Linked DNA regions of Astyanax mexicanus. The protein of the gene in region 1 purifies or fractionates together with the protein of each later gene. This does not show direct contact. Links are inferred from orthologs where the notes say so. Each region holds a gene or a part of one and is shown in the gene's direction. Other genes may lie near its edges.

Region 1 (7,661 bases):
TTGGCATGTAACGGTAGCTGTAACGTTCAAGGCTTCAAGTATTGCTATGCGGATATTAGCTAGATGGACGTGTCCTCATGTTCCCCTACACACTGGGTGGATGTGGCTGGCTAGGATGAGTCAGTTAAAGTTGACACAGAGACATGCCCTTTTACCACAGACACAGTTAACCTAACGCTATGTAGGGGGCTGGCTACCTTAACTAATTAACTTCACTACACAGGTATCTAGCCTAGCTCTTTGTCACGTTTAAAACCTTAAATGTACGAAGCACATTAGCTAAAAAAAACCTTACATTGTCTGTAGACAGTGAGAGAGGGAGAGGTTCTGAATAAACAGGCTTCAGTGGGTGTTGTACTTCAGAAGAATACTTAAATCAGTTAAATTGTTCTAAACTGTAGGTTTACTGTATGTTAAAGTTTTAGCTACCTAGGTTAACCCCTTAACAGGCCAGGATTTTGGTCAATGGTCTGCCTGACATTGCACCACTAAATCTTAATGATTTCTATTCAAGCATTACATAAAAAGCTTTCATGATTGATAAGGAACATTACTGAAAAGCATAATTGTAATTGTAATAGACAATATACAAAAAATATTCAAGTAAATCGGCTAATGTCAAAATATAATGAGTAAAATCATAAAATTGGCTCCTCCCTGAACTTCATTTTAAAATCAACATTTTCAACAGTTAATTCGCTCCTAACCTTTAGTTTCATTATATTTGTCTAGTCTTTACGTACATTTTCAAACATGCAGAATTTGGGTTGATTCCTGTTACTGATCTGAAATTATTAAGTGGGGTAGAGAGTTAACAGGCAGCTTCTCCAAGTGTCCTGTAGGCGATTTCAAAGCCCTTAAATTTTTTAGAGTGTAAATACATTATTTTACTGCAGAAAAAGAGGGTTTTGTATCACCTACACCTGTAGCCTGTATACAGGATAAGGCATGTTAAAGGGTTAACGTGGATCTGGGGAATATGTCAAACTGTTTTAGAAAAAAGTTTTTTAAAAAAGTGATACAAGCTCTAACGAATTATTAGTTAAGTATCCAATACAAATATTTTCTTAGTTAGCTAGCACATTTCCATTTTATATATTCTGTTTAAGAGATTAATTATGTTTAATTGACTAGTAATCTACAGATCCGTAAAGCCACTTTGTCTAGACACATTATCAAGGCCACATATTCTTGTAATGTAATTGTGTCTAGTTATATGTTAACGTTTAATTTACACGCAATCTCAATTTCTTATTTATAATAAATATAACTTTTCCCCCAAAATTGAGAAGATACATATGTCCAAAAGAAGGGTGTTCCACTGGGAAAGTGTCAGTGCAAGGAATGAGTGACACCATGCTTTAGATGCAATCTTGGAATTGTCTTGTTACACAACACAAAATGGTTCTCAAAATGCGGATGGATGGCCAAGATCTAGCAATATTTGCTTTTGACAGATATATAGGCATATATAACAGATTGTTGCAGCTCAGTGATTATTAAGAGCTGTAGGAGTGCAGAAACTCTTCTCAGAAACATGCATCTGATCCAAAGGTATTAGACTTGTCTACATAGCAGTGTGAAAGAGTGGCTTGAAGAACCTTATGTCCTTGATGAATGAAACTGCAGCAGTGGGTTTGTTGTCTCATCTAAGGTTTAGACATCGTCAGGCACAACTCAAGATGTATTGAGTATAAAGCCTTCTGTCATTCCTTGATGAGTAGTACAGCCAATCAGGCCAGCCTTTGGTGCCATAGTGAAAAGTATCAGACATCATTGTGAAACTTGTGGTGGCTTAGACTTGATACAAGGACAGACTTTTTCAATGGCCGCTTTAGAAACTGCAGATGTTGCCTTGATGGGTGAGTCACTGACTCTATGGTAAAGATTTAAAACATCTTGACTTCTGACCTCCTAGTATGTTGGTAAAAATCTTCCTTTTGCATTTATTGCAAGACGAATCAGTATAAAATGTATTACTGTACTGTGTAAGTTATCTCCTCTGTGTGTTCTGTCTTAAAGTTTATTTGGGATCAATATGATGGTCCTTGAGTCTGGGGTGGAATGATTTGATTTGTTCAGTATAGCTCCAGTGGTTGAGGTGTGCATTGCTTACTTGCTCAGGTTATGTGTTGCTTTTTAAAAAGCTAAGCGATATTTTGAAAGATAGCACATTTAAGTCTGTATGTATGTGTAATGATGTAATGATTGTAGTCCACATTTTAAACAATGTCATATTAAATTTAGTTTTAATTCCTTTTTTTAAGCTTTGTATCTTTATAGGGTTTAGTACTCAGTGTCTTAAAGTACTGAAGAATGCTTGTACATTTAGAGACCCAGGCAATCAGTTTGCGATGCTCTTTCAGATATAATGGAAATGCTCTTATTAATTGCAACAATACCATATTCATGTTCAGACATTAACAGCCTTAAAATTGCTCTGTGTTTTGTTCCTCAATAAATGACTGGTTTTATCATGTGTCGATTTCTTTGTGTAGGTTTCAAGAAGCTTTGAAGTTTGTCAAAAAATCGCTTGGGCTTTGGTTGGTAAGTATTATTAGTATTTTTTGAATCTCCTAAAACTGCTATACTGCTACATTACATGTGTACTTTTGCAGATGACAAGGAAGCTGATTTTCAGCCCAAGGCTAATGTGGTCTTAATGAGTTGTGTTTGAGTGTTTGTTTTATGCAATGTTCTGACATGTCTGCTAGAGAAGCCAGTTTGAAATAATGACCAAAAAAAGCTGTGTCAGATGAATGGAAATATTATAGAGCTAATTTCTTAACCAATGGAATTCTATTAGGTGAATGTTAACTTGGATTATACAGCAGTAGAAGAAAAGGCTCTTGTGTTTTTCTTAAATTAAGTGAATGTCTTGAATATACTGTATATAATATCCCTATTTCTTCTCTTTCAAGGTTGTGAGCTGTGTGCTGCTGCAGTGCTGGGAACCGTGGGCTGCAGTGCTGGGAGATGTGGGCTGAGGTAGTAGTTTGTATAGTTTGGGATCACACCAGATCTGGGAGATAACTATACAGTCTACTGTCTTTCTCACAGCTTCTGCTTTACTTCATGCTCTACTCACAGAAATTCTGGACTCTGAAGCTGTGTTACTTTACAGTTTGTGGTTGTGTGTGGCTTTGTTGTGCTGAGGTAGTAAGTTGTGTTGTTGTGGGGACATTGTATTATTTGCCCCGACTGGAGATAACTATACATCTTACTGCCTTCCACACTGGAGTCTTTGTACCCCTATGACTTTATTCAGAATGTAAATTAATTTTGGTTGTTTAATTTGCTATTATCAAGCACTGCTGTATACTTATTTCATGTATTTGATTTGATGTAATGGCCTTCTTCTGATTTTGTCTTCTGTTGTGAAAGTATTAATAAACACATTTTATGAATGAAGCTGTGCCTTTTGTGTGTGTGCCTCAATGTATTAGTTATATACAGTGATCACACCCCAGACCAGCTGGTCATCTAGAAAAAACATACCCTATGCTGGTTGGCTAGCTCGCTAACTAGCTCTTGACCAGCACAGGGTATGGTTGGGTTTTATTATTTTTTTAATTATTTCTCTGTATGACGAGCTGATTTTGGGGCTGGACTATTTAGCAGGTCGTAGATCTTATATGGGGGAAGCAGGAGAAAAATGGTATGAAAAAATTGTAATACCTGTTGTAAAGAAATACAACAGGTTCAGTTTGTGTATCTCCAAGGCTCTGATCTAAAGGCTGCATAAAGCCTGGTAAATTGGTGTGATGAAACACAAAAGGTGGTATATTGCCTTTTGATGGCATTTGGCTGGTGTTAAGAGAAACTTGCATTTATCTATGTTACAGATTTAGGCAAATGTAGCATAGCCATAGTCTGCCACAATAGGATGTTTAGTTGTTTTAGTGTTCTGGGTCACTTGCTGCTAAATAAATGAAGAGGCTATGAGTGCAAGTGAATAATTTTAATCCATAAAAGTCCAGACCCATTTCTAAATAAATACACCATATTCTAAATCGAATCACATAAATTCTATGAGCAGCTCATTCATGTTTTTTTTTTCTTCTTGTGAGCAAATGATTAAATATTTTAAGGTTAAAATCCTGATGTAATGTTAATGACATAACAATTGTATAGCTTTTATTTTATTTTTATTAAATCAGTTTAGAAATTGTTATATGGATTGTGGAACACTTCATTAAAGCATTTAAATTAATGAATTGATCGGGAAAAGAGCTGTAAAAGCCAATAATACTTTTTAAAAAGGAGCTATTTTTATTAATGTGAGATGATCACACACGTTCACACACTGTCCTGTAATGATGCTCTTAAGATGTTCAGTATTTTAAAGTTATTTAGTGAGTGAATTACGTGAACTTAAAAACATGACGGACGAAGTACTTTAAGGAACTTTACACAAATTTTAAAGTGTCTATTTTTGGGTTAACTATAATAAATGTCAAAAAAAGTAAGTTCATGTCTGAGACTCAACCTAGCAAATAAAAAAAACTTGAAGGCCATGGCCAAGTTTCCCTGACATGACCTTAAGATTACTGAGCTATTATCTGATTGGCAAACGCGCGTGTCAATCAAATCAAACTTAGCCAATGGAATAAGGGGCGTTGGTCAAATCCACCTTTCTGATTGGTTAGTAACTCGTTTCCGTGGAGTTTTGTGCAGCTCCTGCCGTGACGTCTTTCCACAGCACCGCCTGCGCAGTGTGGCGAACATGGCGAACATCAGAAGTGTCAAGGTGAGAAACGGATTGAAAGAAAAGAGAGAACATATTACTCCTCGTGAGTTGGATAGTCTGTACATTAATAGAAATGCCTGGTTGCTGTCTAACGCATGGCGTTCTGTAGTAATAGCGCTGGCCGGTGTGCAGAAGTTTTAGCTCGCATTTGTGGCTAAAACGAGGCTGAAGTTATCCGGATTTTTCCGTTCCACCTTAAATAGTGTCTCTTTGGTCAACGTTACGCTGTGACCTATATGAAACTGTCTGTATGGTAGAATGGGGCTGCTGAACTATTTAAGGTGGAACGGATAATTAGGACAAGATACGAAATACTGTTTTATATGTGGTACTTTAGCAGGTTATTGCACGCCCCCTTGAGCCTTGGTCCACTTTGGCAGTGTTTTATTTATTGTGATATGAATTATTATTTACTATTCAAGAACTAAATACAACTGAACGCTAAGAAAAACAACCAAACGTTAAATACGTTAGCTAACTTAATACTCATTGCTACCCAGTAGTTCGCGAACGTGTACTGTAGGTAATTAAAATACTGGCTATTTTCCAGGTCTTACATAAAACGAATTAACTTAACTAGTTAGCTAAACTCGCCTCATTCTTTGATAATGCTGTTGTCTGTCAAGCTAACGTACCTGGGACCAGTTTCTCACACAATAAATAAGCCTAGTACTAGCTAGACCATGTCTTCCTTTCTATGGAAACATTTCCATTCAAACTGTGTCAACATGTGTGCAGATCAATACTTGCCTTAAAGGAGAACTCAGGTGTGAAATGGACTTGTGTTGTAGTGAAACATGATAAAGAGTACAAACCTTTGCAGAATAGCCCACCTCCCATTCAGCCCCAGCATTCCCAAATACAGCACTTTTAGCCAATGCTCCCAACAGGCTTACACTACTAGCAATAGGGGCATAGAGTTGCCCTTGCAAAAAAATCTGTATTTTTACACCATTAACTAGCTCAAAATAGCTCCTCACTTCATTGGTAGAATTCTGAGGGTCCTCATTTTTAAACCTAGGCACTGAGAACTTTAAAAGTGCACAGGTAGTTAACGTGTGGTCCCCTGTTATCAGCTGTACCCCTATGATCAGCCAGTTCCGCAGTTTCCTTTCCCTCGCTGACAGTTGCGTTAAGGGAATTTAAAACATGTCAGCTTCAGCTTTAGACAAACACTTAAACTTTATTCTCACAAAAAAATCCTGTCACAAAACATTATTTAAGTATTGCTAACATTTTGTAAATCTCCGTGTAAAAAAAAAAAACTGTGTGGAGCACGCACAGCATTTCTGTATTGTGCTGTCTTTTTTTTTTTTTTTTAAAGATCAGTATTTAGGGTCCCTAAAAAGCGAACAAGGGTTTCGTCTTGTTTTCCTCACGTAATCAGAGTTTGAATTCCCACATAGGAAAAATGCGATGTCATTATACACCATTGGAAGCCGCCGAATCACATAGGCACAGTGCTAAAATGCCATGCCTCCAATAGGCGGGGCAGGCAAAGACGCGGTCAACACAAATAAGCCCAGCGATTCAAACATATGCATAACTATATACATAATCAGCCACCAATATCATGAAAGAGTTGTTATTTTTTAAAATAAAACCTAAAGTATACATATTTCCAGCTAAGCGAAATGTAAGGTCGGCGATAATAGAGGACCCTTGTAATTCTGCAGGTCTTGCCACTGGAGGTGCCTAAGTAACCAAAACTAATTCTAAAAAAAAAAACCCCAAGTCAAACGAATACTGAATGTTATTCTACACACATTTCTCTCCTGAAAACCGTTCATTTGGGTGAGTAAAGCGCTGCAGTTTATTTACAGTAAACAGATTACAGATTTCCAATGTTTTGATTCATATGACCAGTTATTAAAGGCCATCATGCTAGTTTATAAAGAATACTGTTTATATATAAAAATTACTTTGATAAGTTGACTGATTTAGCACAAAGTAGGATGGGAGAACAGATTTCAAAAATGCGTGAATATTGCAGAAATATTTACAGCAGCAGCTGGAATTCATGCATTTCCACAGAATTAAAGAAAATTAAATACTTTGTGCTAGTTAATGGTGTAAAAATAGCCATTTATTTGCGTGAATGATGCTATGCCCCTATTACTAGCATTGTGAGTCTGTTGGGAGCTTTGGCTAAAAGTGCTGTATTTGGCAATGCTGGGGGTGAACGGAGGTGGGCTGTTCAACAAAGGTTTGTTCTCGTTATCATGTTTCAGTAAACCCCAGGTTCATTTTCACAACGGGGTTCTCCTTTAATCCCACATCGTTTTCTACTTTTTAATTGTAATATATCTGTGTGCTCGCACTCTGGTATAGGGTATGGTGGGTTTGGTTACAGGAGGTGCCTCAGGTCTGGGAAGAGCCACAGTGGAAAGGCTACTCAGCCAAGGGGCCAGTGCTGTGATCCTGGACCTGCCCAGCTCAGACGGACACAAGGTGGCCACAGAACTGGGGGGCCACTGTGCTTTTGCTCCAGCTGATGTAAGTACAATACGGCATGACAAGAACCTACAAAATGCTTTCCCCAAGGACAGTTTTTTAAAGATTCCCCTCCACCTTAAATCTGCATCATCTTAACTCATATAGAGATGTCATTCTCAAGTGACTATTTAAGTCTAGCCTATTTAAATCTAGCCAGTATTAATCATAAGTTTCACCAGAAATAATGTCTCTCTCATGATTCAGGTAACATCAGAGTCAGATGTACAGGCAGCTGTGAGTTTGGCTAGGGAGAAGTTTGGCCGACTGGACTTGGCGGTGAACTGTGCTGGCATTGCGGTGGCTGCCAAGACGTACAACTTCAGAAAAGAGATCCCTCACAGTCTGGAGGACTTCACTCGGGTTATCACTGTGAGTACTAATCATATTCACTGCTGCTACTGCCTGTACGACCACT
Region 2 (6,989 bases), on another chromosome or scaffold:
ATTATACTACAATGGCCCCTATCCCTCCCTGGGATGTACATATTACACACCTCAGGCTGTATTTCAGGAGGGTTTTATCATATTTCTGCTTTGTTTCATATTTTAACTTTGCAGAGTGCATAACACCCAAGGTTTAGTAATATACAAAAATATCTATATAAATAAATATATGCAATTGTGTTTCCAGGGGCTTTAAAGTGTCTCTCATGCCATCTTGGTGCCATATATCACAGGACACTTACACAGGTCAGATCTGCTGTGGTGGGGGGACTCTACGTAATAATGGGCAAAGTGGTTTTAATGCTATGGCTAATTGGTGCGATACAGCAATGAAGGAAAATGGAGCGGAGCGGAGTAGGGCACAACTGAACACCTGGCCTTTGCAAAATAATATTTAATTCAATTTTATACCACCTCATCTTTAACTCCCCAACTCATCCCTTTCTAATAATACTGGATGGAGCTTCATCATTCCAAAATGGTGTTCCATTGCTACACAGTTCAATGGCCCACTAGACAATGAATGGCATTAGATATGATGCCAACAGGTTCATGTTCACCTGCTCTAGAAAGACCTATTCCATTGGCTATACTAGCAATGGGTGCATCTATAGGTAGATGAATGCATTTAGTACTAGAGCTGCACAAAATATCATTGCAGTGTTGATGTCACATCGCATGACATGCAAGGTCATATATTTTCAAATGTATTTATTTATTTATTTACTTTGCACACATAGTGCACTATTAATATTTTTATGAAATGTTGAATCATTTACCTCTTTTGAAATATATATTGCAATGTCAATGCACCATGCAGCTCTAGTAGGTACCATGAAATGTAAAGTTGCCAGAAAAGTTATTATTGTAGCATGTCAGTTTGTGCCCAGCTCTGCTCCATGTTATAGTGACACCAGTATTTATATATCATGGTAAAGCAGATCATATTTAGGTATGTTTCTTGGATCGATGGGGCTTTGGACGATTAGTTTTCCTCTCATGGCTCCTCTGTAGATCACCTCAATAAGATCAATGAAGTCTTGCTTGGTTTTAAAACATCCAATAAACTTGGTATGATCTGGAGACCTGGAAGAACACAGAGCACAATATTAGCACAAGTGTGGGTCACTGTGCCACTGCTGCTTACAACAATCCTAATGTTAGAGGAAATATTGCAATATGACTAAATAAATGACACATTGTTTGGCACAATTTAATAAATTATTCTGTATTTTTTTTACACTTTTGTTTAAATAATTTTGCTTGCCTAAAACAGCTGCATCAACGTTAGTGAAAGCATTTTTTAGCACATAGAAATCTAAGTAAAGCATTTTAACAAATCCCAAACCCTTATGGCACAACATTCAACACACCTATAGCCATACCTTCAGACATTATACCAGTAATAAGCTCTAATCGCGTGATTTGAGCCACTTGATCACTTACCCATAATCAACCTTCATGTGCTGTCCGTTGAAGAAGAAGACCGTGGAGGGAATGTAACTGATGTCGAAGTATCGGGTGTACACTGGTACTTTATCCACATCCACAAGATAGATGGAGGTCATGTTCTTCAGGTCGTGAGAGGTTTTTGAAAGCTGCCACGAGAAAAGGAATGTTAAGATTGGTAAGGCTCTTCACTAATGAGACTTTCAGACAAAAGTCTGCAAAAAATGATTTATTTAGTATAAATAGTAGTTTCATTCTATTTTGGTCATTTTAATTCATTAAATATTCATAAACATAACTTACTAAGACCCTGATTTTGTGTAAAATAATTAGTGTAACAAAAAAAATGAACAACTTAGTAACAGCAAAAATCTACCACAGAAATAAAGTTTAGCATATTAACTCATGCATGTGAGAGTGGTCCAACACAAGCAGATAACATGTCTCTCCAAACCATCACTGACCATCAGTAAATTTTACATTTCATTTGTAAATCACGGGAGCAGAGTCCCAGAGAGGAAGAGTGGAGAGACACACAGTCCAAACTGCTTGAGGTCTAGTGTGAAGTTTCCACCAATCAGTGATGGTTTGGAGAGACATGTCATCTGCTGGTGTTGATCCACTGTGTTTTATTATCAAGTCTAAAGTCAGTGCAGTTTTGTTTTCCCACAAAATCTTACAGCACTTCATGCTTCCCTCTGCTGCTGACAACTTTTTATAGAGATGCAGATTTCATTTTCCAGCAGGACTTGGCACACTGTCCACACTGCCAAAAGTATCAACTGATCTTATATAATATTCTAATTTTCTGAGACACTGATTTTTGGTAAACGCTTAAAATAGATCACTCTGTGTATAATACATCTATATGAGTTTAATATTTTGAATCAAATTACTGAAATAAAGTAACTTTTTGAGATGACCTTGTATAGCTTCAAGAGTTTCTTTAAATTTACCAAATTGAAAACCTCTGGAATATAATCAAGAGAAGGATGGATGATCACAAGCCATCAAACCAAGCTAAACTGCTTGAATTTTTGCACCAGGAGTAAAGGCATAAAGTTATCCAAAAGCAGTTTGTAAGACTGGTGGAGGAGAACATGTCAAGATGCATGAAAACTGTGATTTAAAACCAGGGTTATTCCACCAAATATTGATTTCTGAACTCTTAAAACTTTATGAATATGAACTTGTTTTCTTGCCATTGTTTGAGGTCAGAAAGCACTGTCTCTTTTTTATTTCAGCCATTTCTCATTTTCTGAAAATAAATGTCCGTTTTATGTTCAATTTATCTAAACATATACCTATAAATAAACATGTTTAAAGCTGATGTGTAATTAGGACAGGGGTGGTTCAGGCTGAACTGAATGCTAGGCTACATGTGTAAACACTGGCCATAGCTTTAGAGATGCTAAGCTAACAGGCTAACCCAATAAAACAACACTTACAATCTCATCCAGCTGCATACAGACAGAGTCCTCGTCTCTCCCGAACCGAAGCACCAGCACCTTCTCCGCCACGGCCTTCACAGCCTCGTCCACTTCCTTCTTACTGCTTAATTTAGGCAGAAATAAACTCATATTTACTCAAACCAGCAGATGAACCTGCTGCACTCTCAGCTCGCGGAGCACTCAGCTACTGAAATACTGAGATACTGCCCCCTGCAGGCCCACGCCGGAACTACACTCTGTATTATACACAAGAATACAATATATTAATCTACTTAAACCTATATAATTATATATAATTATCTGCAAACTTTAGTTACCACATCGCTTTTTCTTTTAATTGTGTTGATATACAATATTAAATAATCACAAAATAAAAAATAGTGTAGAATTAATGAAAATACAAAAGAGAAGAAGAAATTAATAAAACACCCAATTGCTTCACTTTTAGAAACATTTTTTTAAATTCCGTATTCTCTTTTTTAAATGATATATTCTTCTTTAGCCATGTATGTATTTTCTGCAAACAAGTAAAAACCGAAAATGGTTTTATTGTGTGTTTTCTTGTTATTTTTGGAATGCTCATTTTTTAGACTTAAAGCATGTTTTTTTTATTAGTTTTGTTGTTTGCTTGATTTATTTTTGTATATTTTTATGCTGTGGTGTTTATGGATGGTTAAACTGGCCTAGTGTTGTTTCTGCCTATTGCAAAAGACGCTGGGAGGGGAAACGAACGAATTTGTTCTCATTAACTAATAGTGAGTGACTGTAAATTATACTAAAATAAAACAAAAACACAAACAAACAAAAAGAAAAATAAGGCTTCAAAGTATGAATGTATCATTTTTTATTTATCAAGTTTACCAAGATGTGTTTATAATAATGTAGGTCAAATAAGGACTGAGAGTATAATGACATTCATTTAATACTTAGAAGTTATTACTGTTTTAAGTTTTTTAAGTGGGATAATAGAGATTGAAAAAAAAACTTTTTTTATATAACAGTGATTTACATATTTTACACTTTTCCTTAAAAAAAAATATGAGAAATATAAGGAGGTTTTGTTTGCACCGTGGAGGGATGAAGTCTCTAAGTGTAGGTTGAGAATTGTTCACAGATATTATCTTAAAAATACTCTCTTAATTCTGGGAGAGCATCCAGATGGGCTAACGTTATGCCTAGAAGGTGCACAACATATTTTTATTCATGTTCTCGGAAAAATGGGCATTGAAGGATGGGGAACCGCGAAATGCGGAACGTCTGTCTGTAGTGTGTGTTTCAGCACGGCGGGAATAGTGTGTGCGTTGTTTTTTCAACGTGACTTTGAAGGGAGCGAGGTGTGGAGGAGTGAGTTTTAGGCAGTGATGGAGTGAGAGAGTGAGATTAGCGCCTCTGAGTGCTTCAGTCAGGAGCCCGGTATGCTTAACTGCCCTGCATTTAGTCCTCAGCAGTGGCCGGTTATTCTGCTTTATCTGATATCCTGTGATGTTAGCATGCTAGCTAGCTCATTAGCCTGCCATAGCTAACTAACTGAAACACCCGTGCTGCCCTGTCCTGAGGAGTGGAGTACTGCCCTGTACTGAGGAGTGCTGTGGAGTGGATTATCCCTGTGCTGTGAAGTGCTGCCCTGTGCTGTGAAGTGCTGCCCTGTCCTGAGGAGTGTAGTGGAGTATTTCCCTGTGCTGTGGAGCGCTGCCCTGTGCTGTGGAGTGGAGTTTTGCCCATGACGTTCCTCAGGTTGCAGGTTGTGGGGGTCCTGAGGAGGTGCTGCGGCCGCCCCTCATCTTCAGCAGCTCTAAAATGTCATTATTCTGGTTTGCCCACATCCAGCTTCATCTCCACTCCATCCTCAGCACTTACTTCCAGCCGTGCTCTGAGCACCACCTGGATCCTGAGGAAAGATGTCCCTCAGCCCAAAGATGAGGAAGCAAGACCCAAGCTGGACCTGGATGTGTGGAAGTCAATGATGCGCACAGTGGCTCTGCAGGAAGATAGGGTCAAGACCAAGGATAAAGTTGAGGACGAAGATAAAGAAGAAACCTCCACTGATGAGAGCAAGGAGGTGGAAGGAAAGCTTTCTCCCTTGGAAGCGACTCGCATGCTGGTGGACGCGTGGCGCCTGGCCGGTAGGTTGGTTCCTGACAGCCTCACAGACGAGCAGATGGAAGCGCTGTCCAAGTTGACCACCAAGTCATCCAAGAGGAAGTTCCTCAAGCACTTGTCCATCAAGGAGGGATACAAGAAGGCCAAAATGGAGAAGAAGGAGAAAAAGATGGCAGAGAGAATGGAGAGGGCAGACCGTGAAGGGGTCGATGTCGACAGCAAAGCTGATGTCAAGTTAAAAAATACCTTCCTGATGAAGTTCTGGTCTCGATCCTTGGATACACTCCTATTTTGGAGATCGGCGCAGGCCATGCAGTACGGTCAGCCACTGGTCTTTGACATGAGCTATGACCAGCACATGTCCAGTCACGACGCGAAGAACACCGTCTCCCAGCTTTTACAGTGTGAAGGCTGGAACCGACGATCTGTGGACCCCTTCCACCTGCACTTCTGCAACCTGCAGCCCAACAGCGTCTACCATCAGGAGCTTCTCAAGCGCTATGGCCAGGAGACCTGGGAACGCCTCTTCATCACCACCACCAGCCAGCGGCACGTAGACATCTTCCCCCGTGAGAACCTTGTCTACCTCACTGCCGATTCTCCAAACGTTCTCCGGACCTTCGACCACAACAAGGTGTACATCATAGGAGCCTTTGTGGACCGTTCTGCCCAGTCCGGAGTCTCCCTGGCCAACGCCAAGCGCCTCAAGCTGGCCACTGCTCGTCTGCCTCTGAATGAGCACCTGCAATGGGACTGCGGAGCCAAGAACCTCACCCTGGACCAGATGATCCAGATCCTGATAACAATCAAGGAGACCGGCAGCTGGGAGAAGGCTCTGGAGTTCGTGCCCATAAGGAAGCACGGTGGCTTCTACGAGCAAAAAACTGAGAACAGTGTTCCTGATGTTACAAGTGCTCCATATACAGCACCATTCAGAGCAACAGCAACCACATACAGCGGGTCTCAGAGAGATCGAGCCCCACTATTCGTGAGCAAAAGGAGGATAAGGAATCAGACAGAAGAGAAACCAGCGTTTAAATCAGAGCAGATGTTTGGACAGACCAGATTACGGACTGGACTAAAAAGCAAAATAGAGGAACACAGTAGAGCTATGAGGGAAAAGAAGAAGTGGTCGAAAAGAACATAAACTTTTGACTCTGAGACCAAAGACTTGCTGTTGTGTATAGCTTAATAATGAAAATAATGGAATGTATCAGTTGAATAAAAATTAATTTGGCAGTAAATTTGTTATTGTCTAACTATCGGTAAACCTTCAAAAGAAATTTCATTGAGTGTTACATTTGTACAGAGGTATAGATAAAGTTTGAAATGTGTTTAACAGTGGTCACACTATAAATGTAGCCAGTTTGTTTACTGTCTCAAATGACCAGTGAGTCCGTGCCTTTAGAGCTTAAAAGCTGACATATGCATTTGAATATTATTATTTTTTTTTTAAATAAAATTTACATGAATAATCTTGCAACATTTAATGATGTAATTCATACGTTTTTAACAATGTTTTTGTTATTTTGTTTTAAATCAAATAGATGTGATTTGAATTTAATTTAAAATTATTTTTTATCAAGTAAAAACACAAAACAAAACATTTTTAGAATGTGTGGTAAACATTTGACTTGCACTGTATATCTTACAGTAAAAAAAAAAAAAAACATTCTTATTATTTTTTTGTTCTTTATTGGTTTATTTATTACATTGTAGATTAATGTAGAAGATTTATAAACTAAAACCGAACACAAGTGCAAACCCAGGTGTTTTGGGATAACTTGAACCTTAGAGTGAAAGAAAAGCAGTTAACAAGAGCTCAGCATCTCTAGAACCTCTTTTGAAACAGTTGGAGAACCATTTCAGGTTCTACCATATGAACCAGACTGAAAAAATCAGCCAAAAGTGGGCAAAGTTGTAAGTATAGGAAAATGTTTGCTTCATAACTGTGCATGAGTTTCTTCATAGTGTTTATGTCTTCAATAT

Evidence for each region. Proteins that work in one complex are often made in the same cells at the same time.
Region 2: the proteins of hsd17b10 (region 1) and trmt10c purify together in Homo sapiens (co-immunoprecipitation; 3 studies listed by BioGRID and IntAct, counting the BioPlex papers as one, with this or other methods). This does not show direct contact. The link is inferred for Astyanax mexicanus from reciprocal best matches to the Homo sapiens genes HSD17B10 and TRMT10C.

What each region holds. Positions count from the first base shown.
Region 1 is NC_064420.1:33,488,957-33,496,617, reverse strand, and holds the start of hsd17b10 (3-hydroxyacyl-CoA dehydrogenase type-2), read left to right. Parts: upstream 1-4,649; 5' UTR 4,650-4,726; coding exon 4,727-4,750; intron 4,751-7,081; coding exon 7,082-7,246; intron 7,247-7,450; coding exon 7,451-7,615; intron 7,616-7,661. UniProt on the Homo sapiens protein: Mitochondrial dehydrogenase involved in pathways of fatty acid, branched-chain amino acid and steroid metabolism. Acts as (S)-3-hydroxyacyl-CoA dehydrogenase in mitochondrial fatty acid beta-oxidation, a major degradation pathway of fatty acids.
Region 2 is NC_064428.1:8,572,677-8,579,665, forward strand, and holds trmt10c (tRNA methyltransferase 10 homolog C), read left to right. Parts: upstream 1-4,180; 5' UTR 4,181-4,620; coding exon 4,621-6,147; 3' UTR 6,148-6,483; downstream 6,484-6,989. Other genes in the region: txnl4b (thioredoxin-like protein 4B), read right to left, coding at 921-1,086, 1,447-1,598, 2,898-3,029. UniProt on the Homo sapiens protein: Mitochondrial tRNA N(1)-methyltransferase involved in mitochondrial tRNA maturation. Component of mitochondrial ribonuclease P, a complex composed of TRMT10C/MRPP1, HSD17B10/MRPP2 and PRORP/MRPP3, which cleaves tRNA molecules in their 5'-ends.